4 linked regions of the Rhinolophus ferrumequinum genome follow. The protein of the gene in region 4 purifies or fractionates together with the protein of the main gene of each other region. This does not show direct contact. Links are inferred from orthologs where the notes say so. Each region holds a gene or a part of one and is shown on either strand. Other genes may lie near its edges.

The links.
Region 1: the proteins of HIF1A (region 4) and FASN purify together in Homo sapiens (affinity purification with western blotting; 3 studies listed by BioGRID and IntAct, with this or other methods). This does not show direct contact. The link is inferred for Rhinolophus ferrumequinum from reciprocal best matches to the Homo sapiens genes HIF1A and FASN.
Region 2: the proteins of HIF1A (region 4) and CUL2 purify together in Homo sapiens (affinity purification with western blotting; 7 studies listed by BioGRID and IntAct, with this or other methods). This does not show direct contact. The link is inferred for Rhinolophus ferrumequinum from reciprocal best matches to the Homo sapiens genes HIF1A and CUL2.
Region 3: the proteins of HIF1A (region 4) and STAT3 purify together in Homo sapiens (affinity purification with western blotting; 4 studies listed by BioGRID). This does not show direct contact. The link is inferred for Rhinolophus ferrumequinum from reciprocal best matches to the Homo sapiens genes HIF1A and STAT3.

What each region holds. Positions count from the first base shown.
Region 1 is NC_046304.1:54,837,648-54,844,556, forward strand, and holds the start of FASN (fatty acid synthase), read right to left. Parts: upstream 3,010-6,909; 5' UTR 2,845-3,009; intron 1,053-2,844; 5' UTR 1,045-1,052; coding exon 918-1,044; intron 381-917; coding exon 228-380; intron 1-227. UniProt on the Homo sapiens protein: Fatty acid synthetase is a multifunctional enzyme that catalyzes the de novo biosynthesis of long-chain saturated fatty acids starting from acetyl-CoA and malonyl-CoA in the presence of NADPH.
Region 2 is NC_046288.1:5,835,093-5,842,088, forward strand, and holds the start of CUL2 (cullin-2), read right to left. Parts: upstream 3,023-6,996; 5' UTR 2,862-3,022; intron 2,799-2,861; exon of another isoform or gene 2,623-2,798; intron 1-2,622.
Region 3 is NC_046304.1:38,168,571-38,176,205, forward strand, and holds the start of STAT3 (signal transducer and activator of transcription 3), read right to left. Parts: upstream 3,013-7,635; 5' UTR 2,727-3,012; intron 2,239-2,726; exon of another isoform or gene 2,218-2,238; intron 1-2,217. UniProt on the Homo sapiens protein: Signal transducer and transcription activator that mediates cellular responses to interleukins, KITLG/SCF, LEP and other growth factors. Once activated, recruits coactivators, such as NCOA1 or MED1, to the promoter region of the target gene.
Region 4 is NC_046289.1:33,431,332-33,438,298, forward strand, and holds the start of HIF1A (hypoxia-inducible factor 1-alpha), read right to left. Parts: upstream 3,002-6,967; 5' UTR 2,719-3,001; coding exon 2,684-2,718; intron 1-2,683.

The sequences.
Region 1 (6,909 bases), on a different chromosome or scaffold from region 4:
GCATCAGGGCATGCCTGGATACGTCCCTGCCATTGTGACACCCCGACTTGCCCCAGGGCCCACGCCTCCTGAGCCTCAGGGCCGGGGACAACCTCGGCTCCCCTTCTTCCTGGATCTGCTGCACTCAGAGTTCTGCTCTGAACATGTGCTGCTTTTAGAAGCGAACAAACAGAAACACTGCCGTCAGGTTGTGGCCCCAGGCTGGCCAGCAGCTCCTGGTGACCCACCTGCATCCACGATGGCTTCGTAGGAGACCTCCAACAACAGACGCAGCTGGGGGTCCATTGTGTGCGCCTGCCTGTTGTGGACCCCAAAGAAGGCGGCGTCAAACTTGGACAGATCCTTCAGCTTGCCAGACCGCTTGGGCAGGCCGTAGAGTCCTGCAGACATGGGCAGATGGACGGCGCCTGTTGTGGGATGTCACAGGCCCCGCAGGACCCACGGAGGAGGCCCTGCTGCGAGGGGAGCTGGCTCCTCAGGAGGGCGGGCAGCAGCCCCAAGAGGGGCCTCTCTGCCAGGCCTGCGTGTCACTTGGCAGCGTGTGGCTGACTGTGACCCCAGAGCAGAGCGTGGTGGGGCACCGCAGCGTCCCACCGCCCGCCAGCATCCTGGACCCTCTGCTGGGCCCGAGCTGGGCCAGCCCTGCCACGCTGACTCACACCCTGTAGATCAGGTAGAGCCACCCTGCGGGGGAAGCTACTGGGTGTGAGGGAGTCAAACCAGCTTCCCGAGAACCTGGGACATGTGGGCCAGCAGTGGCCGGCCGGGCTCTCGCCCACCTGGCCTCACCCCTGGCCCTATCCCCGGTGCCGGGACCTAGTAGGTCACATAGCTCAGCTGTAAAGTGGGCAAGGAGGCACACTAGGGCTCACCCTCTGCCTCCTGAGGCCAGAGCCCAGAGCCCAGAGCCCACTCACCGGCCTTCCACCGCCTGTCGTCTTCTGTCACCATGTCCACGCCACCGATGAGGTTGGCCCAGAACTCCTGCACATTCTCCGACTCGGGCAGCTTCCCTGACATGCCAGCGATCACCACTTCCTCCATGCTGCTCCCTGCGGGGTGGACACGGGTCAGCTCTGGCCCCAACAGCATCTGCCCTCCTCCACCTGGCCCGTTCACAGGTCTGAGAGCAGCATGGAGGACCAAGGCCCCCCCCAGACCAAGGGACAAATGGTCAGCTCCTGGTCCTGTGCCTCCCGGATGGAAGCCCAGGGTGTGTGTGGGTTCAACTCTGGTCCAGCCAGCCCTCACCTCTTACTGGGCCTTGGCACTGGCCTGTAACATCTGGGGCCTCGACCTGGGTGATACCACCATGGATGGCCTGCTGCTCTGTGGACCCCCCTAGCAGTCAGGGGCCTCTGCAACCTCCTGCTGCAGTGCTCCTGGGAGGACCATCCAGAGAAGGGCCCAACCCCTTCCCAGGACAGGGCCACCTGGCCGTCAGCCTGCTAAAAGCTGGCCCAGGAAATCAAACAGGGGAGAACGGGCGCCAAGGTTTGAGGGAAGGGAATCAAGGGTGGGGAGGAGCAGCAGCCCATCCTTCACTCAGCACCCCAGGGTACCCTCCACGGCCCGATGCCACCAAACTGCCCGGACTTGGGCAGGGATGTGGGTACCAAGGCCCGCAGGGCTCTGTGGAAAAGTGGCCCTTGCTCCACAGTGGGCCAACCCGAAGAACTTCCTGGTCAGGTTGCAGGCAAGTGCTGCGCAGACCCACACACCTGTGCAGGTGAGGCCGCAGGATACTACTTGCTGACCTCCATGCAGCCTGCCTGACCCAGGTCCCCAAGGCGCCTGCAGAGGGAGCCCTGGCCACCCTGAGCTTGTGGGTGCAGGACGGGGGCTCCTTTGCAGCCCCTGAGGGAAGGGACAAAATCAGGGTTGGTCTAGCAACTTCTGCCAATGCCCTAGGGCCTTGTGGTGCTAATGTCCGGTGGGGGTGGGCACGCCAACCTTTTGCCCTCCTGGGTCTCTCTGAACAAGGGCGGGCTGAGTAGAGGAGAGCAGCGACTTCCTTGGGTGGCCGAGTGTCCCTGCTGTCTCAGCAGGGAAGGAGCCCCCTCCCCCAGCGCTGAATAAAGAGCTCTTTGCGGGCCCAGGGGCACCAGCTCCGGGGCGGCTGCTTCCTCCAGAAAGCGCCAGCTCTGTTCTTCCCTACTTGCTATTCACGCGGAGTCCGGCGGGGCCCACACGGGGGGTGGAGACCCCCGCAGCGCGCACCGCCTCGCCAGTCCGCCCCGCCGCTGCCACCGAACGGGCTGGAGCTGCTTGCCACCCCAGAACTTTGGGGGTTCCGGCCGGCGCCCACGTGGTGGGGAAGCCGGTCCTCACCCGGCTCCGGGGGCCTCTCCACCACATCCCTCCCTTCTTCCCGGCCCTCCGGTTGGCTGGAAGGGAGCCTCCGGCTGGGGCTGGGCCTCGGCTATGCGGCACACGAGGAGGAGAGGAGGTGGTGCCGCGGTCGAGGAGCTCAGGGGCCCGGCCCGCATGGAGACCTCTGAAGGCGCCAAGGGGCCCGGCGCGCACGAGGCGGCGGGTGCTCCCACCGGCCCTCGGGGGTTCGCAGCTGCCTGGCCAACCCCACTCCGAGACCAAAATGGCTGTTCGCGGCACTCTCTGGCGTCCGCCCCTCGCCATCGTCCATCTGTCCCACCAGGCCTGGGGCGCGGCGCACGGGTCCTTCATCACCCGGCCCCGGACGCTCTACGGGGCTCGGACCGCGAGACCCGAGCGGGCCTCGGAGGGCGACCTCTCACCACGGGCGCCCCGTGGCCGGAGGATGCCGGCCGGCGGCGCCCTCCGGGCCCGGCCGCGCCGCCCCGACCCCGGGCTCGCCGCTGGTACCTGGTCTGGGCGCGGGCGGCAATGCGGGCGGGCGACTGAGAGCGAGGATGGAGCGCGGCGGAGAAAGGGGCCAGGCCGCTGCCGTCTCTCTGGCTCCCTCTAGGCCGGCGCCGACTCTATTTAACTGCGGCCGTCCCCGCGCGGACACGCCACATGGGCTGACAGCTTGGCTGCGCCGCCCAGGCCAATGAGCGTCGGGGCTGCGCCCCGGGACCCGGCGCGCCGCCGCCAGTGGGGTGATGCTGCGCGCCGCCGCCGCCACCGCCGCCGCCGAGACCTGCGCGGGGCCGCGCCTGGGGGGAGGTGCCTAGCTGGTGGGCCGAGGACTCGGGGGGCGCTGGGGCGGGGCGCGCCGCATCACCCCCGCCCTCCACTTCCGTTTCCCGCCCCGAGGGCACGCGGTGCGTCCCCACCCCCAGGGCCGCGGGGGCCACGTGTGCGCGGCGCGCGGGTTAAACGGGACCGGGCGTGTTTGGGCTACTTCGGGGTGGGGGCGGGCGGTCACGCCGGGGCCACATTAGAGTCCAGGCGGACCCCCATACGGACGGACGCACAAGCCAGCGTCTGGGGCGGGCACAGCCGACTGTGGGCGTGGCTCGTTTTGCCGCCGCGGCCAATCGGGGGCCGGGGGCGTGCGCGCAGGCCCAATGGCGGCGCGCGAGGGGGCGTTGCTAGGCGATAGGGTGATGGGCTGGCCCCAGCGCTGCGCCGGCCGCGGCGGGCGAGCGCGGTCGTTGACCCAGCCGGGGGCGCACTGGCCGGGGTTACTGCCGGTCACCGCAGCAGGGGACTGGTCCTCTCCGCCAGGCCGTCCCACTTCGCGGGGCCGGCGCGGGAAGCCGGGCGGACGCCTCCCGAGCCAGCAGGGGTCGAGTGGGCGCACCGCCGGCTCCCCGGAGCCGGCCGCAGGGAGGGGCGCGGCCATTTGGCGAGCGGGCTCTGCACGGACACCGCTTGGTGTGATTCGAACAAAGGAGCCTCCCTGGGCAGAGGCACTCGCGCGCGCACTTGGCCACTCGCACCCACGCGCGCTCATGCGCACCGGCGGAGGCTCAGCTCTGCGTCCCGGCTCACTGGCGCAGGCCCTCCCTTTGTAATTCTGCTTAAACGGTTATGGAACTTACAATTCCCTGCCCCGCTGCTCACTGGGGGCTTCTGGCTCCTGCACAGTGGAAGGAAGGGCAAGACAGCAAAAGGGGAGAGCTTGGAGCTCCCACAGCGGAACTGCTGTTCTGAACAACCTCTCCGCGGGTTGTCTTTTTCCTCTTTTGATTTAAGAGCTTATCAGACACCTGGGGTCCCCGGCCAGGAGCGGCTGGGCGGGCTGGGCTCGAGACCCTGGGCTCGCACCACGGAGGGCGGGTGGGTCGGAGACTCGATCATGAGCTCTTAAGTGAGTCTACCGAAAGTGACCCGGCATCTCCATTCACTTTTTCAACTAAAAGAAGTCACGTGGCCCTGAGGCATTCGAAGAGGCAATGCCGGAAACAGCAGAGCACCGACCCCCCGCCCTCCATCCCCCGCCTCCCGCGCAGCTGCTCCAGCTTGCAATTTCCCGGCGGCGGCGCTGACCGAGTCACCGCCGTTGCCTCTCCCGGAAGCCCGCGCGCCCAGGACGAGCAGTTCTGGCCCCGTGAGAAGGCTGACCTCCCTGCCCGCGTGTTCACAGGGGGCTGAGTGAAGCACACTGCCGATGCCCAGGGAGGCATGAGCCACAGAACCGCACACCAGGTCTGTGATCTCCCGGCCCTGCATCCGGCAGCACCTGTGAGCCAGGCAGGTAGATGACACTGTCTACATTTTACACGGGGGCTAACTGAAGCCCAAGAGGTCACACACAGGGAGGGCTGGGTCCAGCCTTCCCCGTCTCCTCTCTCCTGTTGGGTGAGAGCTGGCCCCGTTGGGAAGCATCAGTGCTGCACCTAGGCAGCCTGAGGGCACAGTCATGCTCCATCCACCTGGGGTGAGGACAGGCCTGTCTCCAGCCCTCAGCACTGCTGTGCCAACCAGGTGCAAACGCCAGGGGAGTTGAGCACAGGGACATCTCCCCACACTGCCCTCCCTCCCAAGACAGGCGATGTGGCTGTGACAGCCTAGAACCCACGGTGTCAGGACGGTGCCCTGAGACATGTTCTTCTGGTGGGGGAGAATGGGTGTGGCTTTGCAGCACCTGGAGTGACGGGCATAAGTTTGTTTCTCACCCTTGCAGTTGCCCGGTCTGGGGCCACCTCCACCCCAGCTGCACCCTGACGCGAGCACGAGAGCACGCACGAAAGAGCATGTGGGGGCAGCTTGGCGAGGCAGTCTCTGGTCTGGCGTGGGGTCACGGAGCCTCACGGTCCTCATTCCTCACGGTCTGTGCTCTGTGGGGTCCACCTGCTTTGTGGTGGGCCTCTGCTCTCCATGCCCTGCGGCTTGCCGGCGCCTGTGGGCTGTGACATGGGCAACCTGGCTCTCCTGGGCATAGTCCTGATGCCCAGACACCTCCCAAATAGGACAGGTAAACAGCTCCCAGGCCAGCAGGCAACCGGCTTTAATGCAGTCCACACTCGGTCTGTGAGGCACCCCAGCAGCTCACAGCACCCCCCTCCCCATGTGGGCACACACACGCATCCCTGAGGTGAAGATTAAAGCACAGGCCCCAGGGGCCAACTAGGAGTGGGAGAGACGGACAGGAGGAGAGGGCAGGGTAGCCAAGGAAGTCAGTCCTTGAAGTTGTAGTTCCGGACCTTAGGGGGCCGCTGGTAGCCTTTAGGTTTGGCAGGGTGGGCCTTGGAGGGTCTTTCGGGTTTGGCCTGGCCTTTCATCTTCATCCCTTTGATGGCCACAGGGCTGTCAGGGTGTGGGAGGTTGTCAGCTGCTGGAGGTGCTGTGAGCTCTACCAGGTGAGAGAACAGAAAAATGCAGTTACATCCCAGGCCAGGAAGCCATGTGCTTAGAAAGCAGTTCACTTGAGTGTACACCGACCGGCTGTGGTTCCTGCCAGCAGGAACCGAGACCACACGCCCTGGCTGTTGGCACGGGAGCCCCGTGCAGGCCAGAGGCCCTCCCGTGGTGACCATTCAGTGGCAGCAAGGTCCCAGGCCAATGTCACCGCACAGGAGGTTTGTGGGCACGCGCTCTCCAGATGCTTTGCAGGGCGTGAGCCTGTCCCTCCACTGGGTACACAGCACACTCGGCCCTGAGAACCGTCTCCTGTCCTAGCCATCTTGTAATGGCTCCCTGGAGGGGGGCTATCAAGGTTAATGGGTGACTCATGGCACTTGCCCACTGTCAGCCAGCCTTTGCACCTCCAATTGCCCAGCAGCCTGGACACACGTGGCCAGGCCCAGGCCAAGGACCTGGGTGCGGCAGCACACGTCCCCATGTGGGCCAGCATGCCAGAGCGGCCCTTCCTCTACACTGGGGCTTTGATGGTGATTTTCTTGATCCTTCGAGCTTCTATGTTCCAAGTTTTTAGAGCTAAGAATGTATTTCTTTTGTAAAACAAAAAGGATATTATTAAAAAGCAATTGTAAGGGCTGACCCGGTGGCTCAGGTGGTTAGAGCTCCATGCTCCTACCTCCGAAGGCTGCCGGTTCGATTCCCACATGGGCCAGTGGGCTCTCAACCACAAGGTTGCCAGTTTAATTCCTGGAGTCCCGCAAGGGATGGTGGGCAGCGCCCCCTGAAACTAAGACTGAACACGGCACCTTGACCTGAGCTGCCGCTGAGCTCCCGAATGGCTCAGTTGGTTGGAGCGCGTCCTCTCAACCCCAAGGTTGCTGGTTCGACTCCCGCAAGGGATGGTGGGCTGCGCCCCCAGCAACTAGCAACAGCAACTAGACCTGGAGCTGAGCTGCGCCCTCCACAACTAAGACTGAAAGGACAACTTGAAGCTGAATGACACCCTCCACAACTAAGATTGAAAGGACAACTTGACTTGGAAAAAAGTCCTGGAAGTACACACTGTTCCCAATAAAGTCCTGTTCCCCTTCCCCAATAAAATCTTTAAAAAAAAGAAAAAAAAAAAGCAATTGTAAGATGCAAGGTCAAGACTGGCTGTCCCTTGGGGTGGGCCCAGCA
Region 2 (6,996 bases), on a different chromosome or scaffold from region 4:
TAATGTTCTAAAAAATACAAGGTATCAAAGCAGGTGAAGTATGCTACCACTTTTGCAAAGTGGGAGGAAGAATATGTATTTGCTTATACACGCACAAAATACATCTTTGTAAGGATAAGTAAGAAAACAATACTGGCTCCAACCAAAACTGAGTGACAGAGGACAAATTGGGGAGATTTTCATTCTATACCTCCATCAAACATTTTATATTTTGAATCATACAAAGTTTTTATTCAAAACACAAATATAATAACCCAACAAATAAATGCTGATGATTCCCCATTTCTATCTTTCTCTCTCCACTAGAATTTAAGTCTCATGAAGGCAGACATTTTTGTATATTTCTTCACTACTATATTCCCACTGCCTGGTCCGTAGCTGGTGCTTGAAAAATATTTGTTGACTGAAATACTCCTTAACTTCTCCACTGAATTCCAGACTTGTACATCCAATTGCCTACTTCTCACCTCTGCTTGAACATCTACTAGGTCCTACATCTAATAGGTCCTACTTAACATGCCCAATCCTACCCTATCCCCGTGTAAAAACCTGCTTCCTTCACTTCTTCCCCATCTCAATACGTGGCATCACCATCCTTCAGTTGAAGCCCAAAGCCTAGACATCACTTCTGTCCCAACCAACTGCACTTCCATCCACACCACAAGTTCAATAAATACCTTTAACTCCAAAACATACGGCAAACCCTTTTTTACTTGTCTCTAATACTCAAACTACTCAACCTGCCACACCTTTTTCACTGGTCTCCCTGCTTTCTTTTTCCTCTTAGCCAATCTCCCCCATAGTCACCGTAAATCAGGCCCTATCACTCCCGGCCTTAGAAAAATTCCAATAGCTTTTCAATGTACTTTAAAAATAAAAGCCAAAGGCCTTTGGACGATAAGACCTCATGTAATCTGGCCTAGGCTGTGACCTCACTTATCTTTTACAAGAGCCCACCCTCACTGAGCTTCCTTCGGTTTGTGAACCCAAGCTTGATACCACCTCCACGCATTTGTTGTTCCCCCAGAAAGGAACACTCTTCCCTCAGATCTCCAAAGGGTAAATCCCTCACCCTTTTCAGATACCAGCTCAAAGGTCACCTTAGACAGGTCTTTTCTGACCACAGCAATTAAAGCAGTCTTCTCCCACTCACTACAACTCCCACTCCCAATTTTATTTCCTTCGAAACATTTATGATTCTCTGACATTACTTTTATTTCTTATTTATTGTGTCTCTCCCTTCCCCACCAGAATTAAAGCTCCAGGAGGGCAGAAATTTCATGTGTCTTGTGTATTTTTGTATCCCTAAAGCCTGCAATAATGCTTGGCATAAAAATTGCATGCTTAATAAATACTTAACTGATAGATAAGGCAAAACTGACTTTAAAGAAGGTCTACAAGATTTAATTTAGTGACAGACTGGTGAGAATAAAAGACATGGATAAACTATCTTCACATTTATAAAATACTGAAAATCACCAGCGGGGGTGAAGTAAGACTATTTCAGATGCAGGTGAACATTCAAACATACAGAAAAGGTATTTTTCACACACTGTGTACATGCACACTGTAGAAATGTCCCAACTTATAAACAACATCTGAAAAAAATTTTAAAAGGGTGACTCAAAACATGGTGTACACCTGTTATTTCATCTGTGACTCTTTTGGAAGGGTGTTCCAAACACTGTATTTGGGCAAAAGAAGCAAAGTATAACCACTCTGTTCATTCGTCTGTCTTAGAAAGGAATTCGAGATTCTGAGGTTAGGGAACCGTCTTTTGAGTGTTTTTAAATGGCTATTATGCAGTCAGTAGTCACTCAGAACAAAGTGATTATATCCTATAGTTTACTATGAATGTTGGTTTGGGACAGGTCTAGTTCCAAGATTTTTATACTGTAAAGTCAAAGAATCTATAGTAAATGTTAACAGTGTATATCTTCAAAATTTAAACTTCCGAAGTACTGCCCTTCAACTGGTAATAGTACTAATCCCTGGGGGAAATCCATGAATCCAAGGCTGTTGCTGTTAATAATAACAGCCTGCAATTCACAGACGTGTTATGCACATGCACGTATTTGTGGAGTGGCAGGGAACGGTCCACACTCCCCAGGGTGTAAGTGCCCTGAAGAGAGCCTAAGGGTCTTATTTCACGAGACCCTAAATGTGGACACAGGTCGAGCATGTACGTCGGCTACTCCTCCCCACAGCTATCAATCTCCGCTGTCTGCGGAAACAAAAGTGAAAATACTCATGGTAAGGATGTAGCGATGGATGCCCTCCCCGCCAAACAGAGTTGTGTAGCCCTGCGAGCACGTAAATAAGCAGATGAGTAGACACACTCTCACCTTCCCTCCTTCGGAGGAAAATGGGGCCGAGGGAGGGGCGCCCAAGGCCGGGTTGGGGAGGCCCGGAATCCAGGCCAGAGGGTGGCGGGCTTAGGGGTCAGCGCTCAGGGTAGCCAGGGTCACTTACCATCTTCCTTGACCACCCTCCTCCACTCCTCGCCCCTCCCCCCTCCTCGCCCCCAACTCCTTTCCTCCGCCCAATCTCCGCCACCCATCAACCGGTAAGGGAAGTTTCCCCGCGCCTGCAGCCGGACTCCCCGACCCTCAGCGGGGTTACCTTCTGCAGAAGCAGGACAAGGGGCAGGGGACTAGGGGAGGGGAGGCAGCCCGAAAGAATGAAGGACGAAGCCCCGGCGAGGAAGGTGGGCGGCGGCGGCGGCTGTCACTCGCGTTCCCCTGCTCACAGCGCTGCCATTACTGTGCCCGAGGCCGCCTCCCCGGCCGGCCGCCGCCACCCGCCCTGAAGACACGGGGGGTGCTCCGCGGAGCCCGGGAGCCCGCGCGCCGCACGCTCACCTGCCGCCGCGCGGAGACACAGAGAAGCCCCGACGGGCCAGGGGCGAAGGGGAGGGGGGTGGGTAGGAAAGAACGGGCTGGTTACTGGATCCGTGAAACAATCGTCCTCCCAAGCGCCGGGCTTTTCCCGACACACACCCTCCGCGCTCCCTCTTCCGCTGCCTCCGAGTCCCCCCCTTGCGGCGCAATGGTAGAGTCCCCGTTACGGCAAGCGCAGGGAGCCTGCTTTAGTGCAATTGCGAAAGGCCGCGGAAATCAACACAGAATCCGGACGGACTCCTTGCGGTCCTCACTGTGAATGAGGCAATGACGGTTCGCTGAGCTCAAGAGACTCAGTACTCAGCACGTTTGGGGATGACATGCTAATAACAGTAGGTCAGAAAGGTGTTTTCAACAAAAGTGTTTTCCTTTGAGTTGTTTCAGACCTACCGGTATGTGAATATTCTCAGGCACCACAATCTCCTTGCCACACCACTTCCATGGGGTTTTCAAATCATCAGAAATATATGAGCAATACTGTTTGTCGCTCTGACACACTCCTTTGCTAGTGGGTTTTCATCTGTAAACAAATTCTGAAACGTTAAGGTATTTTCAATAAAGAAACTTCTCGGTGTTGACCACTAACTTCCCACCTCCCCACCACCACCATTATACCAAGTCTAAAGGGTTTTCCTCCCTTACAATTTTAAACGGCAATGTCGACAAAAATATGGATTTACCTAGCACCTTCCCATGTACAAAAGGAACAAAAGCCTGGCTATGTTACTTACCTGCCTCTCCTAACCACAAGATCTCAGTGGTCAGTCTTGTCCGAGTATTGGTCAGTTCCTCATTTGTACGTTTCCAGCAAGCCTTTCCGTTCCAACCCTCTTTTTTAAACTATTTGTACCGATCCTTCAAAGGCCCATTTAAAGTCCTGTCTCCTGACCTGATAAATCCCACCAGTCTTTCTCCTCTAATCTGCTTCTCATGGCACTTGAACTTTGTTTTAATAAAATTATTATATACTAAATTCAATTCAACCATTTGTTTCCATTATACGACCTTTTTTCTCACATGTTCTCCCTCTTTTAATTCAGCAATTCTCAAAGGGTGATCCCCAGACATCTTGAAATCTCCAAGACCTTTTTGGGGTCCCAAGTTTAAAAATAATCTTAATAATACAACATGTTCTTTCTCTTTTTTATTGGGTTCACATTTGTACTGATGGTGCAAAGCAACAGTAACACTGCTGATATTGCCTTAGCAAGAATCAAGAGAATGGTACAAAGCTGTCCCAGTAGTCATTGGATCGCTGCCACACACTCCCAGTTTTGTTTTTTTTCTAATTGATTTAGGAATATCCTTGATGAAGTAGTAAAAAGTATTAATTTTATAAATGTCAACCCTGTGTACATGTCTTTCTAATATTTTGAGTGAAGAAAAGGGAAGTCCATATACACTTCTGCTATATACCAAAGTAGGATGGTTATGGAAGAAAGACACTTGTGTAGCTGACGTGTCATCTGAACTAGCTGCTTTTTTCATGGAATATCATTTTCCCTTGAAAGAACAACTGACAGACAAACTAATATTACTCTGACTTGGGAATTGACAAATATTTCTCCAAAATAAACAAAGTGAGCCTAGCACCTCAAGCAAAACAGCTGACGGTATTTGTTGCCAATAATAAAATACAGCTTTTAAGTAAAATTTCAAAATTTGGAAAACTAGTGTTCACCACCACGAGCTTGAAAGCTTAAAGACTTTTCTGTTGAGACTGTAGTGCTATTAATGAATGTGACTTTTGGATGTTGTATGAGATATGTCAACGTATAGAAGAGCTACATGCCACAATGAACCAATATTTTCCAAATGATCAATGCAGGATATTACAAAAGCATGCATGAATAAAAGATCCATTCAAATTGCAATAAAAGATCCATTGGTCTAATGGATAGATAGGGGTGTGTGTGTGTGTGTGTGTACACATAAAAAACAAAATACAAAATTTCCTTGATTGGTTTTAGACTCCTCATTACAACTAACCTTTAAGAAACTGCCACTTGTCAAATTTTCTGTAGTGTCAGAGAGGACTATCCACACTCATCCGAAAATACTATTAAATTCTCCTCCTAAGGCCTCGTATTTTCTTCATACACCTCAACCATAGAGAATCTAGCTATCTTCTTTTAAGCCAAATATTAAACAGATAGGCAACATGGAAAGCAATGCCATTCTTCTCGTTAAATTTTTTTTATTTTGGAAAATACAGTTACTTTTCAGAAAAACATGCAATTTATGTTAACATATGTTTGGGTTTATTATTTTTTAATTAATAACTAGATTTCTTAGATTTCTCTTTTTAATCCTAAAATGGTAACTATTGATAAATATAATGCACATAAACACAAGCTCTTTGAGTACCTCAACAATTTTTTTAAAAGTGTAAAGTGGTCCAGAGACCAGTTTGAGAACCGTTGCCCTGACTCATAAACTACCTCTGCTCTCACCACTTTCCTTTTAAATTCTAGCTAAGATTCAGACTAGCATGAACGGTGCCAAACAAGAATCACTACAACAGTTCTCTAGTTCTAAATCTCAGAGATCTCTCACCTTTGGATAGCTTATCCAACCAATATAATAGGAAAATTACATTTCTAAACAAGTTACAGCATCCAAACCCATAATATGAAATTGAGATTACTTCTTCCTTCCCCCGTCCCCAAAATAAAGGCATCCTGTGAAGAACCCTTCAAGCCACCCCTTTAAGCAATGCTTGGTCTTCACCCCAGAACTAACCTCAAACCCTAGTTCATTTATAAATTCTTTCCTTGTTTTACTTTTTAGCAAGACTACGTATATCACTAAACTATGTTTGGACTTTGTATAATGTTTACTGAATTCCTTTATTTTTTACTGATTTCAAAAGTAATAAATGTTTCTTTGTTAAAAAAAACAACTAATATTACAGAAATAATCATATTTAGGCTGATAAATATTCCTCAAGATATTTTCTTTGAATATGATTAAACACTTTTACACAAGTCCGATCACATTATAGATATGCTATTTTGTAGCTAGCTACTGATCTTTATGAAACACTTAAATAATTCTTAGTCAGGCAAAGTAATTTATAAATTAATATTTAAAGAGGAAAATTATTGAAAAATATTTTAAGTAGAATATCTCTAAATATCATTTCTTAAATCGATAAACAAAGTATGTCCATTTCTATTCATTTTCTACTTGCGAGTATACATAATTTTCTCTTTCAAAGTTTTCCAAGTTCATTTCATAATCTCCCTTTTACCTACTATTTGAAGAATCCAACCTGAATCATTCCCTGTCTTCATAAACCTCCTTTATAGACATAAAACCCAAACAGCCCTAATTTTTCTGGGACATTTATAATTTCAAATAATTTATCTCATTTTTATATTCCATACACTAAATCTGAATTGTCTTTTCTTAAATCTTTACTGGGAATTTGCATTTCCTGGTTATACCATTTATTAAACATATTTCCACCTTTTGTTTCTAGTAAACTTAAAAAAATGAGATACTGAAGAATAGTTTTCATGTTTGGATAGCTGATTAAAGAGTTGTTTTGTGCTTATAAAACTGAAAGTCTTCAGAAAAATATGTGACTGTAGGACAGGGGCAGGAATACGCAAGATAAGCTTGGAGAATATTGTAGTGTAAGAAAGTAAAGAAGTACTCAAAAATAAAAGCATCCACATTGATAGGAGTTATATATCAAAGGGCACAAAACTGAAAGAGCTCCCAATGGCCAAAGCTAGAACAATTTGAGCAAAAAAATAAAGTAGTAGTGGATTATAACCCAAAGTATAAAATAAATATCAATGGGTGCACACTAATATAAATAAATGATTGAATAAATTACTAAATGGGAAAGAACAATCTCATGCAGGAGAATTCCAAATAAATTTGTAGATACTTCACCACAAAGGAGGGAGAGGCTAACTCTTCATTCTTTAAGTGTGAACCAGGAAGAGTAACTTCCTTCCAAAGACTACAGTATGGAAAGAGAATTTTAAAAGGGTAACTTTATAGTGCAGAAACCTGACAAATACCACCTCAGCTAGATGATTAAGGTCAACTTTAGTAATAACTCATTGTTGATAGTATGTTC
Region 3 (7,635 bases), on a different chromosome or scaffold from region 4:
ACAAAAAGTCAAAACTGAAAATCCTTGGTCTTGCATTCAGGACCTCTTAGAAGTAGGCACTCCTTCTCTCCTACTTACCTTCCTAATCTACCAGGATTTTGTTTGTGCTATACCACCAAAACTCCTCACCCCTAATTCTTTATACCTATCAAATTCCAACCATTACTTGGGACCCAGATGAAATTTCTCCTTTGGCAAGACGACTTCCTAGATAATTCCAGGTCTCGTGACCTCTCGTTCCTCTAAAACCTGTAGCGCTTAGTGCAGCACTCTCCAAAATAACTTTCCACGATAATGGATATATTCCATGCCTGTGCTATATGTTTTCATTTTTCTTTTAATATACAATAGAGATCATAGGCTTAATGTCTCATCATCTCTTTGAGGACACGTTGCATTGTATGGATAAAACATTTATCAAGTCACCTCAGTAGACTGCAAGTTCTGTCAACAAGGCATCTTATCTTCACAGCAACTTTCACTAAGTTGCAAAAAGTAAATATTTGTACACCACCTCTGAGAAAACTATAAGGTGAAAATGTGCTAGACTGTGTCTGGAATAGTCACTACCTCTGCCTCATCTCACATCTGAATGTCAAGACAGGCACAGGCAGGGAGGAGAAAGCAACTTTCTGGAGACATAAATGACCACTGATCAAGCCACAAGGCACTTTGGTTTAAATAACATTTAGGCCACGACTGTCCATCTACAAACTTGCCTAAATAAATATTTCTTTCCATTAGCAAATAGCTAAATTCTGATGGTAAATGATGTGACTAAAAAGTTAGTTACTTCCCAAGTTAAACAGCACAGTTAGATAGAAAAATAACCTAAGCGAACCCTATTTGTACTTTTTTTCTCCTGTTTATTACGTATCTCCTATGGGGTAGGACAGCCTATTGGTGGTATTTCACTGTCCAGATATATGTTAGAATTTCACTGACAGCTTTCCCAACAGGGACTACACTCACTCTAAATCAAGACCAAATATTTAAGCATAGATAGTCAAAAGAGCACAAAATGTACAGGTGTGAGTTCCACCACTATGACAAGTATCTTGTTTCTTTGCCTCAATTTTCTTACCCACAAAATAGGATTAATGTTACAGGAACTATCTATGCCTTGTGGGTCAAGTCATAACTGTGGATATTTCTAAATGATTATTCTTCCCAAAAGAACTACATATAAAACTAAAAGATTAATAAATTTGCTATAGTTCTTTGTGGAAGGTGTGCTAACAAATTATAGACTAAGATCAACCCTCCAACATCTTCTACAATTTTTCTGTATTTCACGTTTCTTTCCCCCATCCCACTATGCAAATATCTGAGCAAAAATTCTGCTAGTACTCCAGCAGATTCTGCTAGTACTCTGGCACATGTAATAAGGAAATAAATGTATTGATTCAGGGAACACAGATGTTTAATATAAAATAAAATATAAAATTGACTGAATCAAGTCATAACACAATCTAAATCCACATCTAAAAGACTGAGATGATTCACTATTCTGATTTATTCAAACCAATGCTTTATCAGCACAACTAGCCAAAAAGTTACAACCCATTTACAGAATATACCCTTTAGATACACACAATAAAAACCAGCAGACACACATTATGTACATTTTTAATAAGAAGAAGTGTTGTCAACACCATACACCCACTTGATATAAACACAGAGGGATGTGTACTAAACATGGAAAAAGCAACTTGAGTAACAGTATGAATTCTGCTAACTTAAGACCAACCACACACCCCAAACACAGGTAAAGTTTGCACACATGGCTTCACCAAGGCCAGCCTGTCTTTGTTTCCCTCTCCTCTGCATTTACCCAAGATCTTGGCTCTGAGACAGAAAACTCCCACTCTCGATTGGTGCATTCTGCCCTATGCAATTAAGCAACACCACAACCCAGTAAACGGAAGGTCTCAATTATTTATCTTCTGGCCGAGTTTACCAGGTGTTTATAAAAGAACAATGTCAAGGAGAAAAGAGGTTTATTTCTCTCTAGAGCTGGCTTGATTGGGGGGGGGGGTATTTTGTTTTAGAAGGGGGCGGAGGGAAGCAGGGCTTAACGTTGTAAAAGACGGGAGGGAATTTAGAAAGAGTGCACAAGACTGCCAATTTCCCTACAGGAAACTTGATTCTTATGCAATAATCCTACCCACAACCAACCAGCTCGTGAGACGGTAGGGGGAAGACACCTATTCTTACCTCCAGAGGGGCAAAGCTGGCTCCTAAAGGAGCGAGAACACCGCAAGGCCGAGGAAGTGGCTGGGGGGGAAGGCTCTTTTCAACCCCCCCCACCTCCCCGTGATCTCCGCCGGCGTGACAGTCGCTCCTGTGGCCAGAACGTCCCCGGAGCCCCAGAGAGCAGGAAGTCGGGGGGCTGTCCCTCATTCCTGCCACCCCCACCCTAGAGTGCTCTTGTCCCACGGTCCTCCCCCTCGAACCCATTCTCTCTTCCTCGGCGCCTCCCCCTTCTCTGAAGAACGAAACTTCCTTCCAGCGCCCCCTGTCCCTTCAGAGGCCCGCTCCTGTCATCCCTAGGAGTTGTCCCTTCAGAGCGACTCTCCGTGTCTCTTTGTATCCTCCTGCCCCACTGAAGTTTCGATCCACAACTCCCCCAAACACCCCAGTCACTCCGGTCACTCCGGTGCCCCCGGGGTCCCCAGGCCTAGGAGCCGTAGGGGGAGAACGGCCCCACCCTTCACCCCCTTCACCTGTTTCTCCGGCTGAGGCCCGACAGGCCGGGGTGCGCTTGCGCCGGGATGCGAGCCGCGGGGCTCCCTCGGTCCACTGGGTCTCTCCTGGCAGACGCTGAGAGAGCGCGCCGTGCGGGGGTGCTAGCCAAGGATCGGTTCGGGCTCACTCCCTCCGCCGCGAAGTCGGAACCCCAGGCTCTCCCAGTCTACGCCGCCGCAGCTCCGGAAATCTCTGAATTACAGCCCCTCCAGCCAATCCCCGCCCATCCCCAGATTGGCCGCGACACGCCGTTCTGCATAATTCATGAGACGGCCAGTTTTCTCAGCCACCCAGAGGCCCTGGTGCATGTACGTACATCCGAAGCCCCACCCACTGACCAATGAGGACAGCTTCTGGAAGGAAGGGCGGGTCACACAAGGCTGGGAACGCCCCTTGATGGCTGTTCCGAAGGCTTAGTGCTCCTCCCTCCACTACAGCAGGGGAATTGCCAAGGACTCGGGCACAGAAGCTCAGGGGGAGGGAGGGAAGATGACCGGAATGTCCTGCTAAAAACTCAGCTGAGTTCCTGGCAGTGCGTGACGTCAAGACACTTTAAATGCCCCTGATGCGGCTCTCATCTGCTTGCTCTCCCTTTTCCCGGCCCTTGACACCACGTGGCGGCGAGGTTGGGAGTCACTAACCACGTGGGAATCAGCCAGTTAGACAGTCCTAAAATATCGCCAGGTCCTCGGGGCCCAACACCTCAACTGGGTTTCTGGAGACAGCAAAAAGAACATGGGTGACTCCCGCCAGCTTTGAACTGCAGTTTCTGCGTGAGACGGGACACACACACCCGGAAATATGACGTGGAAATAGAGTAATTACTAGAGTGCGTGGGGAGAGGGTAGTGGATTTAACCCTGTTCTCGGTTGCGTCGCTTTAAGCATCAAACGCCACTGTTCGCACATTGGCCAGTTCACGAGAATGCAGAAGACAGTACATATGAAGATTGACACGTATACATATTTTTATGCTTCTGAGTTGAAATTGCCTGCCTTTTTTTCGCCTACTCTGCTTGAGCGCGAACCCAAGTTTTACTGCATTGAAGCCAGTAGTTTATAGAAAATGTAGATATTTTTTTACCTTACATGATAGAGGATGTACTTTGCATGATGGAGTAATTTGTGTGTGCGTGTGCGCGCGCTGATACTATCAGGTGTTTTTTCTTTTTAATAACAGCTATTGTTTTTGTGTTTGTTGTGAGTGTTTAATACAAAGGGGTATAAAGATGAAATCTTAAAAGGGCCTAATTATGTTACCACTCAGATAACCCCTGATGACAGTTATTTTCAATGAAACTAACACATATTCGTGGTTAGAAAATTCAAACGGTTCAGAAAAGTTGAAAATTAAAAATGAAAATTTCCCTCCTTCCCCCACCAGTATTTCTCCCCAAGGATAGCTATTCTTATTAATTTCTGGTGAGAAAAATCAATGACTCTTAACCTGTGGTGGGAGAGGGTCACAGATCTTTCTGGACTCTGTTGGATTCTCGCCCTAGAAATATACAGTATACACTTTTACCCACAAATTCTCACGGTTCCCCAGATAACTGAAGCCCAGTCAAAGACCAGATTTGGACCTTTCTACCACCTTATTTATATCCAAGTGAGAGGTGATCCACCTCACCTAAACTCTGCTTTAGCTGTATTATCCCATGCAGTTGACAGCCTCCCTAATAACATAGGGTCTAACATTTCTTTAGTTATTTACTGCTTACAAAGTACTTGCACACTCGTTACCTCTTTTCTTTCTCACAATAATTATGTGTAGCAGATAGGAGAGGCCATATTATTTATTGATAGGAAACTAAGGCCAAAATAGTATGACAATCTCAGGTCAGGAGCTACTCAGAGGTATACCAGAGCCAGGTTTTTGAGCTTCACATCTCATGACTTTGTTCCATCTACTAATACCCTGCCCTCTTCTCCTGCCTTCTCAGCAGCTGGCTTTTGTTTCCCTCATACAGAAAATCTACCCCTGAGCCTATCTGTTCCACCTACAAAACCTCTCTCCAGCCCCGCCACTGGCCTTTCTCCACACTCTGCCAATCCCCCTGCGCTTACAGATGGCAGTTTCTTTCACTTGAGCCAATGCTTTGACCTGAACTCCCCTTTCCAGCCTCATCCCCTCCATCCCACAAACCTTACCCTCCCACACTGAATTCATCACCTTCCTCCAAACATGTCAGCACCTCTGTAGCTTCATGCCATTAAAGATCTCCCTTCCACCTAAAATATCTTCTCTTTCCCCATTTCCTACCTGAAAAACTCTTATTCATTCTTCAAAGCTCAGTTCCTATATTTCTTCCTCTGGGCTTTCTGAGATTCTTCCTGTCAAAGTTAATCTCTTCTGCTGGGCTCCCTTAGCAGGTTGTTTCCCTATTCTAGTTTCCCTATCCACCTCAGCCCCATTTATTAGCCTACTTCCTGGTAAATAAAATTAATGATTAACATTTATTAAGTAATTACTATGTTCCAGGAATTGAGCTAAGGTTTTTACATAGATGATCTCATTTGATCCTCAAGAATCTAGTGAGGTAGGGCACTATTATAATTCTTTTTTTCAACTGAAGAAACTATGGCTGAGAAAATGAAAGACTGGTCCAAGGTCCCATAGCCAGAAACTAAAGGTAAACTCAGAATGAGAATCCAGTCTGGCTGACTCCAAAGCCTGGCCTCTCTGCCTACATAGTTGAAAGCATGTGACATCTAGCCCAGAACTCACCTAAGCCTGATTTAATTGAATAGTAATAAACATGTATTGAACACTCATATGGGCAATAGCTAACACGTATGGAGTATTTATTGTGTACTAGCCAGTACTCTAAGTATGTATTATATAGCACATGTATTAACTCATTTAATCCTTATAATAACCCCATGCGGAGGATACTGTGATTTTACAAATGAAGAAAATGAGGCTTACCCAATGTTAAGTGACTTCCCCACATATATATACCTGGTAAAAATGGCAGAGTCAAGATTCAAATCCAAGTGTCTACTTTGAAAGCCTGAATAACTGCTCTTCCTTGACCATATCTCCAGGCCTAACCTTCCTCTTGGATCCTCAAGGAAGGGTCTAAAGGAGGGGAAAAGATGAGGCCCCCATTCTCCACCCATCAAGTGAATAAGGCAGAGTGCAGAAGCCTTGCAAGTTTGTGGTGGTTTATAAACATGTCCGCAAATTATCTGACACTTCTCCCATCTAAAGATAAAGTCTAGCTCCATTCCCTTGGCGACTTGCTTCTAATACATAGAATATAGTGGAAATGATGCTGTCTGACTTCTGAGATTAGGTCATAAAAGGTGATACAGCTTCCACCTGACTCTCTCCTGGTACACTCACCCTTGGAACTCAGCCGCCATGTTGTGAGGAAGCCCAGGCTCCACGTGGAGGCCACACAAAGGTGTTCTGGCCAAGAGTCCAGCTAAGACCCAGCTGATAGGAACCATCAACTGTGAATGAGCCAGACTCCAGCTGATTCCAGCCCCCAACATTCAAACCATGCCGATGGAGGCCAAATGGAACAGAGAAGAGCCTTTTTTTAAAAAAAACTTTTATTCATTTTAATGTGTTTTTCCAGGACCCATCAGCTCCAATTCAAGTAATTGTTTCAATCTAGTTGGGGAGGGCACAGCTCACACTGGCCCATGCAGAGATCAAACCAGCAATGTTGATATTATTAGCATCATGCTCTAACCAACTCAGCTAACCGGCCACCCCAAGAGAAGAGACTTTTTTGCTGAACCTTACCCAGATTACAAATTCATGAGCAAAATAAATGTTGTCGTTGCTTTAAGCCACTAAGATTTGGGGTGGTTTGTTACACATCAATATGTAGTCAGGATAGGTTTCCATTTATTACCTCAGAGAGACTCAGAGGAACTATAGGCTAGATCAGGAATTGAGACTTACCGGGCTTTGTAAAATTCTAGAAATGTTTTATTTAGTTCCTCTTCCCTGGAGGAATTAGTACTAAAACTCTAAATCAAGAAAAAGACATGGGAAGAAAGAGAAGATTTGGAGAAGAACATTGGAGGCGGTAAATAGGTGGCAATCACTGCAGTGACCAAAAGGGGCAACGGGCAACTTGTGTGGGTGATGGGACCCCCACGGGGCGCAGCAACAGAAAGGTTCATTCACACAGGGTTGCCCAACTCCCCCTCACTAAAATCACAGAGGAGCAGATCTGTGCAACACGAACTCCTTGAATCTCTACTTTCGTTGTGCAAAAACACTTCTCAGGCATCATCATGTAAGCATCTCCCTTTCCTCCTGTCTGAAGAACAGTCCTCCCTACTCAATATTTTCAACACTAAGCTCTTTTCCGGCTTAAAATATCATTCATACGATGTCATTCTGTCCCGTCAGTGGCTTCCCATGAGGCTTAGGATACAGGAATTCTTCTTTTTTTTTAATCCCCTTCAGTACCTGCTTACCCACCCACCAACCCCCCACACCTCTATTCTGCCCACTAAATTCCAATCAGTCCATTTCCCACCTCAGGGCTTTTGCACACGCCATACTTTTTCTTTCTCCAGCTTTCACATGACTAGTTTCTTCTCACCCTTCTGGTGTCACCTGCTCAGAGAGTCCTTGTCTAACTACTGTCACCTAAAGTTGCTCCCAGCCCCTTAATCTCTATATATGCTGTTTCCTCTGGAATTCTTATTATATTTCTCATTTATCTGTTTACAGTTTCTTCTCTTTCTTCCTCGTTATACTGTCAGTTCCAAAAAATGGTCCTTGCCTGTTTGGTGCTCCTTTGTCTCCCCAGTGCCCAGGAAACAGGCACTAAATAAATACTTATTGAATGAATGGAAGTTCTCTTGGTCCTACCTGTCCCCTCTCTGAGCTTTATCAATTCTTCTCTCCCTCCTGACC
Region 4 (6,967 bases):
AGTTTAAACTAGAACTTTACTAGGTAACACCTATTTTCAAGTACACAGTGTTACCAAGACTTCTAAATCAGGCACTGGGCATAATCTCATTTAATCTTCACAATAACTACTAATATGGCTGCTATTATTATCATTTCAAAAGCTGGACACAGGCTCAGAAGCAGTCGGTAATTTGCCCAAGTTCACAAAGCTAACAATGTGAAAAGGCTGGATTCTAACTTAGAGGTGAGGTGTCTGGCTCAACCACCAGGCATACTCTTCTTCCAACAAGTAGAAAATCAAAGTAAAATTGTAACAAGAAAAAAGTTACTAATAAATGAGAGAGCTCTAGACTTTTAATGACCTAAATTAAAGAAGGAAGTTAAGGACTTCATTCTCAGAGTTTTTACTTTAATGATCCAATAACTATATGGTTTTGAAAGTCTGGCCTGAAATCTGAAACTGAACGATGAACCTCTTGACATTCCTTTGAAATCTAAAAATCTGTATCAATGTGCTACTAAATAAAGCCAGCCGCTACCCCTAAGGAATCAACATCAAAGGCCTTATGTGAAATCTATTATAACCATACCCATCCTCTGATCTGATTTCTTCCAATCCTGCAGCTATGAGTTTCCTAGACCTTCTTTAAAGAAAGACAAATTTGTCTCCCCCACCTGGACTCTGGAGGCTCATTTAAAATGGAAAAATTGTAATAAGAAAATCCCTGCCCCTCCATCTTTCAGTTATCTTTTCAAAAGGTTTTAAAATTAGTTTAAAAAGGGCAAAAACCAGACATCCTTAACAAACAGTACCTAAAATTGTTGAGTAGCCACCATTTATTAAGTGTTTAACATAACTTTCAGGTCTAAAAACCTCCATATAAAGAAATATGAATCCATCTGATCCAAATTTGCTAAATTTTCAAAAGATAAAATTTTGAAAATAACACATGGGACTGAGGAAAAAAATCCAAAAACTAGTTTAGAATTGTGGGTGATGCATAGTAGCTAATTAATATTTGTATTAAAACTGCTTATGATATTCTCAACTCATGAATTGGAAAGGAGAAATGAGTACAGTATTGTATATAAAAAGGAAGTGATCGGTGCATAACTTAATGTACAGTATTAAATGTGATTCAGCATATCATAACAGAAAACTGGCACTACACAGAGGTAATCTGCCTTAGGTTTACAATACAGAGACCACATCTTTTCATCAAAAGCATTGTAATCACTTCTGCAAAATTAATTGTAATTTATTCTTGGGAACTCTTAGAATTTAAGTATAGGTCTGTTTAGTGAGTTTTTGAATTTTATAAGTGCTTTCTCTGGTGTCACAAACTGAGAATTTATCATTCCATTGAATAAGGACCAAAACGGCATCTACAAAACAGCAAGAACATAAACAAATTTATCTTCTGCTGACATTGATTAGGGAAGTTAATCTCTGCCAGGAGAGTGGAAGGACTTAACAGTAAAGCCAGTCTACTAACCACAACTCTTTATTATAAATCTTCGATTCCTTAAAATGATTTTCTCAAAGGTTAAAATACCAGTGGACCAAATTCAGTGTGGGTGGGGGGGGAGGGTCATTGAATCCCACTGTTTCAACTAACATTCCTGTAATATACCACTTAGACTCAAACTTCAAGGTGTTCTAAAAACTTGCGTTAAATTCTAACAATGATTATTTACTTCAGACGTACTTTGAAGGTTTTCCTTTAATATACTTCAATTTCAGGAAAATGCGACAGTTCTAAAAATTTTTGCAACTTTTTAGTTATGTATTTCATTTGCTCTGATCACATACCTTTTTTTCCAATCTCATTAAAAATGTTTGCCTAAATTTAGCCAAGCGCTACGTTTTCACTAAAATACTTTCAAGAATGAATGAGGCATATATTCATTTGTAATGTCTGGGCTCCTTGACAGGTGATATAAATACAAGTATCCAATTCTGATGTTCTCTTTAAAATGTTGCTGTTTCTCTAAATTCCCGTTACTCCACTCTCAGACTAGGGAAGTTTTTCAAGGCGATTAAAACACAAAACAAAACCTGCACGTGCAAACTAAAAAGTTAGCATCTTCAGGCCACCGCGACAAACCCCTAATGCACAAAGGCACAGACACCCCCCACGGCTGGACAACCGCAGGGCAGTATCGCTTTCGACCACGCGAGCCACGGTCCGGAACCCGGGGCCCCGATCCCATTGGGAAGCCAGGACCCGCGTGCAGGGTTCGCCCCGGGGCCGAGTTTTCAATGGAACCGGAGAGGATGGGGGCGGGAAGGAGCAGAAGCTCGGGTACAAACGGCGGCGACCGAGCTGTGGCTCATTTCTCTCCCGGGGTTTTCTGGCTAGGGGAAGTCCACCCGAATGGGGGCACAGGGCAAGCTGGCTTTTTGACGCAGATAGGGAGGCGGTGCGAGGCCCCGGCGGCCTGCAAGGGAGGGCGAGCAGGGCCCAGCCCCCGGCCCCTGAAAGCACTTTCAATGCGTCTCCCGCCCCCCACGACAAGATGGCGACGTGGACAGAGGGGGAGCCCGGCCCGCGAGGTTGGAGGAAAAAGAGGGGAGGAGAGAAGAGGCAGAAACAAAAAGGCGGCCCCCCCCCAGAACGACGAGGCCGGCCCGCGAGCCCGGAGCGGAGGGCGGGCAGGGGCGCCACGGAGAACGCGGCCCGCGGAAGACATGGGCTTACTTTTTCTTGTCGTTCGCGCCGCCGGCGCCCTCCATGGCGAATCGGTCCCCGCGATGCCTTCACGGCCGGCGGCCCCCAGGCTCGCTCCGGCCTAAGCGCTGGCTCCCTCCACACGCGCGGAGAGAAGGAGAGGCACGTCCAGAGGTGCGAGGCGGGAAACCCCTCGTGAGACCAGAGGCAGGAGGAGCAGGCAGCAATCGCCGGACTCTAGGCTCGGCTCAGAAGAGCCTCCCCTCGGGCTGCTAGTCAGGGCCTGATCCGAATCACTGGCCGAAGCGGTGGCAATCCTCGCGTCCCCTCAGACGAGTCGGCTCTGTGCTTGTTGGAGCTGAGGCAGCGACAGGGGGCGGGCAAGGGCGGAGGCGCGCTCGGAGGCGCGCGCGGGGGCGGGAAGAAGTGTCGGCGGCGCGCTCCCGCAAGCCCGCCTCACCTGAGGGGGAGGCGGGTTCCCTGAAAGCCAATGGCGAGCGACGCAGGCGGCCAGTCCCCACCCCGGCCCACGTCTGTCTCAGCCAATCAAGAGACGGTCAGCTGAGGCACAGCTGAGACGCGCTGCCGCGCTCACGTGCTCGTCTGTGTGCAGCTGCGGAGGCAAAAGAAAGGCGCTGGGGTGCGGCCAGCCTGAGTTCGGGGACCTGGCGCCTTCTCCTAGGGAAGGCAGGGGCTGGCTTTGGGAGGCGCTGCTGAGAAGAAATTTCGGTTTGTGGGTCCCAAGCCAGCATCATATTTCCTGCTCGTTGCTGCAGGTCTCCCGCTCTCTTTCTCCTCCGCGGTTGTGCAGTGCAGGGTTGCCGCCAGCTCTACTGAGTCCCAGTTGAAAAAAAACAGACTTTTCACGTCGTGGCTGCAAACCTTTCGGTCCCTTTGCCCACATGTATTACAATGGGGTCTTTCTTGTCAGGTTACCTAACCACGGACCGTGTCACCGACTGCACTCTTTGCGGTAGAAAACACAAAGGTGCTCTCCTTGTCCACTGTTTCCCTGTGATGAAGTTTGATTACTGAGTAAATGAAAATAAACCTCTCTTCCTGTAAACCTCTCAAAGGAAGTAGTCGAATCTTAAAGTTTGAAATTATATTAAGCATATACAAATAGGTATAAGTGGCTTTAACAAAAGAGCATCAAGCCGAATTTCAGGGAGAGCAAGAAAAATGGCTTTAAGTAGACTTCTATTTTTTTTTTTGCTTTTAAAAGAGCCCCCCCCCCAAAAAAAAATCTTACTTGGATTCGAAAAAAAGGAAGACGACCCTTAATTTGAGACTTATCACCTGGAATTGAGTTCACTGCGTGGACTGGAAAAAGGAAGTATTCTCTAGATCCCCACCCAGACCTGGGCAGGGGACCTCTGAACCCGAGTTAACTGGATATGGTGGCCGCCAGTATTACCTGTTTGCTAACATGACTTTGCAAGCTACTGAATAAGATTTAATCACTTTTTGGCTTTGGAAGCATACATTTCAAGACTGTCAGTCTTTTAAATGTTAAAAAAAAATGTATTTTGAATCAGTAAAGAAGTACTGGGTATATATATATTTATCCACTTTACACTAGATCATTTCTCACCTTTGCCTTTTTAGTTATATTGTTGCAATCTAGCTTTGGTTTGTATGTTAATTAATGTGGATATTTAGTGGATTTCAATTATATTGCTGTGTAAAAACAATGATCTATATAACAGCATTAAATTCCGATAAGACAGCTATCAATTCACATCGCACCTCTTTAACTGGTCGGTACACCCACAAAGATAATAGTTCAAGATCTTAATGTTACTTGTTTTTTAAGATCTTTAAGAGGTCTGACAATTAAGTTCATGAACTTGTTGCAATGACTTTGCTAACGTTTTTTGATATCAGAGGGATTATTCATTATGAATTTGTAACAACTGGACAAACAGTTAACCAAGTTTACTATTTGGAAATGCTGAAAAGGCTGCGCAAAAAAGTTAGACGACATGAACTTTTCACCAATAATTCATGGCTCTTGCATCATGACAATGTACCAGCTCACAGGGCATTGTCTGTGAGGGAGTTTTTAGCCAGTAAACAAATAACTATTGGAACACACTCCCTGCTTGCCTGATCTGGCCCCCAATGAGTTCTTTCTTTCCCCGAAGATAAAGGAAATACTGAAAGGAAGACATTTTGATGACATTCAGGACATCAAAGGTAATACAACAGCTCTGATGGCCGTTCCAGAAAAAGAGTTCCAAAATTGCTTTGAAGTGTGGACTAGGTGCTGGCATCAGTGCATAGCTTCCCAAGTGGAGTACTTCGAAGGTAACAGTTGTGATATTCAGCAATGAGGTATGTAGCACTTTTTCTAGGATGCATTCGCGAACTTAATTATCATACCTTCGTATATACACATACCTATATGAACGCGGAAAGCAGTAATATTTAACTAATTTGTTTTCACATAATTACAGAGGAGCCAAATAGTATTCTCTAATTTAATCAATCCTGTTAAATTACAGAATGTTAAATAAAAGGCAAAATTTTCTGTAGGATAAAATTTTATCCCATCATCTTCTTTAAAACCATCTATCAATAAATGGACTTAGGCTGTTACAATGTAAAATAAACCTTAATGAATGGCTTTATTCAATCACTTTGTAATGTTTGTAAGTGTTCAAATTTTATTCCAAATTACTTTGCAGAACTTTCTAGGTAGACTGCAAGATTATTTTCAAATGACTCAGTTGACCCTTGACACGTATTTAGTAGGAAGTTGGGCAGTGATTCAGGAGGAGACAAGTTAAACTTGAAATTTGGATTACTACTAAATAATGTAGAGCATTGAGCCTTTTAAAGAGTGAAACACATCAGATTCAGGTAATTTAGAGTGTATCAAACTATGTTAGTAGACTTAATTAGTGGTCAGTAAGTGATTCTTGGCTCATTACCCTCAGTTTCCACACCCCCACCCCACCCCTAACCTATTCTGTTACACGAACAACAACAAAAAGTATATCATTTGGAAGGAAAGTGCTTAGAAGTTAATAAACATTAAAAATTCCTTTTTTTATTTCAAGGATGACAACAGAAAATAAACATGTATATTTGTCTGAGTTTATTGAGAATAAGAATAGACCAAAAATTTAACACTAGCACATTTTAATTATGATAGACATTTTAAGCATAAATTTACAAAGGAATGTCAAGGGATTTTCAGTTTCTGGTCCAACATGAAAGAGATTGGAAGCTCCCATTTTCACAATAAGAAAAAAAAGCTGAATAAACTGAAAAGCAACAACTCTTCTTAGATCCATCAGAGAATTGTGGTTTCAGGGAACTGCTGCCGTGAAAACTGGAGGAACCAATGGTTATAGAGAATAACTGCTTATCAGAGGATCACAGTTTACCAGGAGCAGAAGTCAGCACCTGAAGCCAGCATCACAGTTGGAGCCAATATCAGTAGAAACACTTCACACTGTAATTGAGGAATTGCTGGAGGCTCTGTGTAGACCAGCTTGAGAGTTGAAAAACTCCAAGGGGGCTCAGCCTCAGAGGGGCCTCACAACTTTCCTGAGTTTTACCTTTAGGAGCCCTACCAGATTCTCACTGTGAAAAACCTCTTGCTTTTTTTGGAGTCGGGGGTGGGAGGGAACTAACCTTTTTAAAATAGTCCCAGAGTTCTCTGTTCTTCATACAGTCAGCCCTCAAGGAAAACTATTTTACCAGAGCCTAACAAACCTTGGGGTAGGGAAACACCCAACTCCAGCCTTCTCTAGCCTTCAACATAGGAGAAGGCACATACTCAGGCTCACAAGACTAAAACCTAATCATTGGACTATAGAATGCTTTCCCTTCTCCCTCACCTTACCATAACACCACAACAGTAGGGTTCCAGTGTAATAACAGGATTATAGCAAAAAGAACTGCAAGTCTCAGAGCCCATTTAAAGAGTCACTAGGAACATTCAAAGACAACAAGAGAAACAAAAACAAGGACACTAGAGTAAATTTTAGCCTCAGACACCACAGCTACAGCAAATAATAACACAGACTAATTCTTAGCCAGATAAACATAAAACTTTATAGTAAAGGCCTATTTACTTAAGTTCCTTTCCCCTAATACAATGTGTCTGGCTTTCAACAACAACAAAGAAAGAGAAAAAAGAAAGAAAATTACAAGACATGCTAAGAAGCAAAATATAACCATTTGAAAAGATAAACAAAACATCAGAACAAGAATTAATATGGCAGAGATTTTGGAATTACCAGACCAGGAATTTAAAATAACAATGATTGATATGCTAAAGGCTCTAATGCAAAAAGTGAA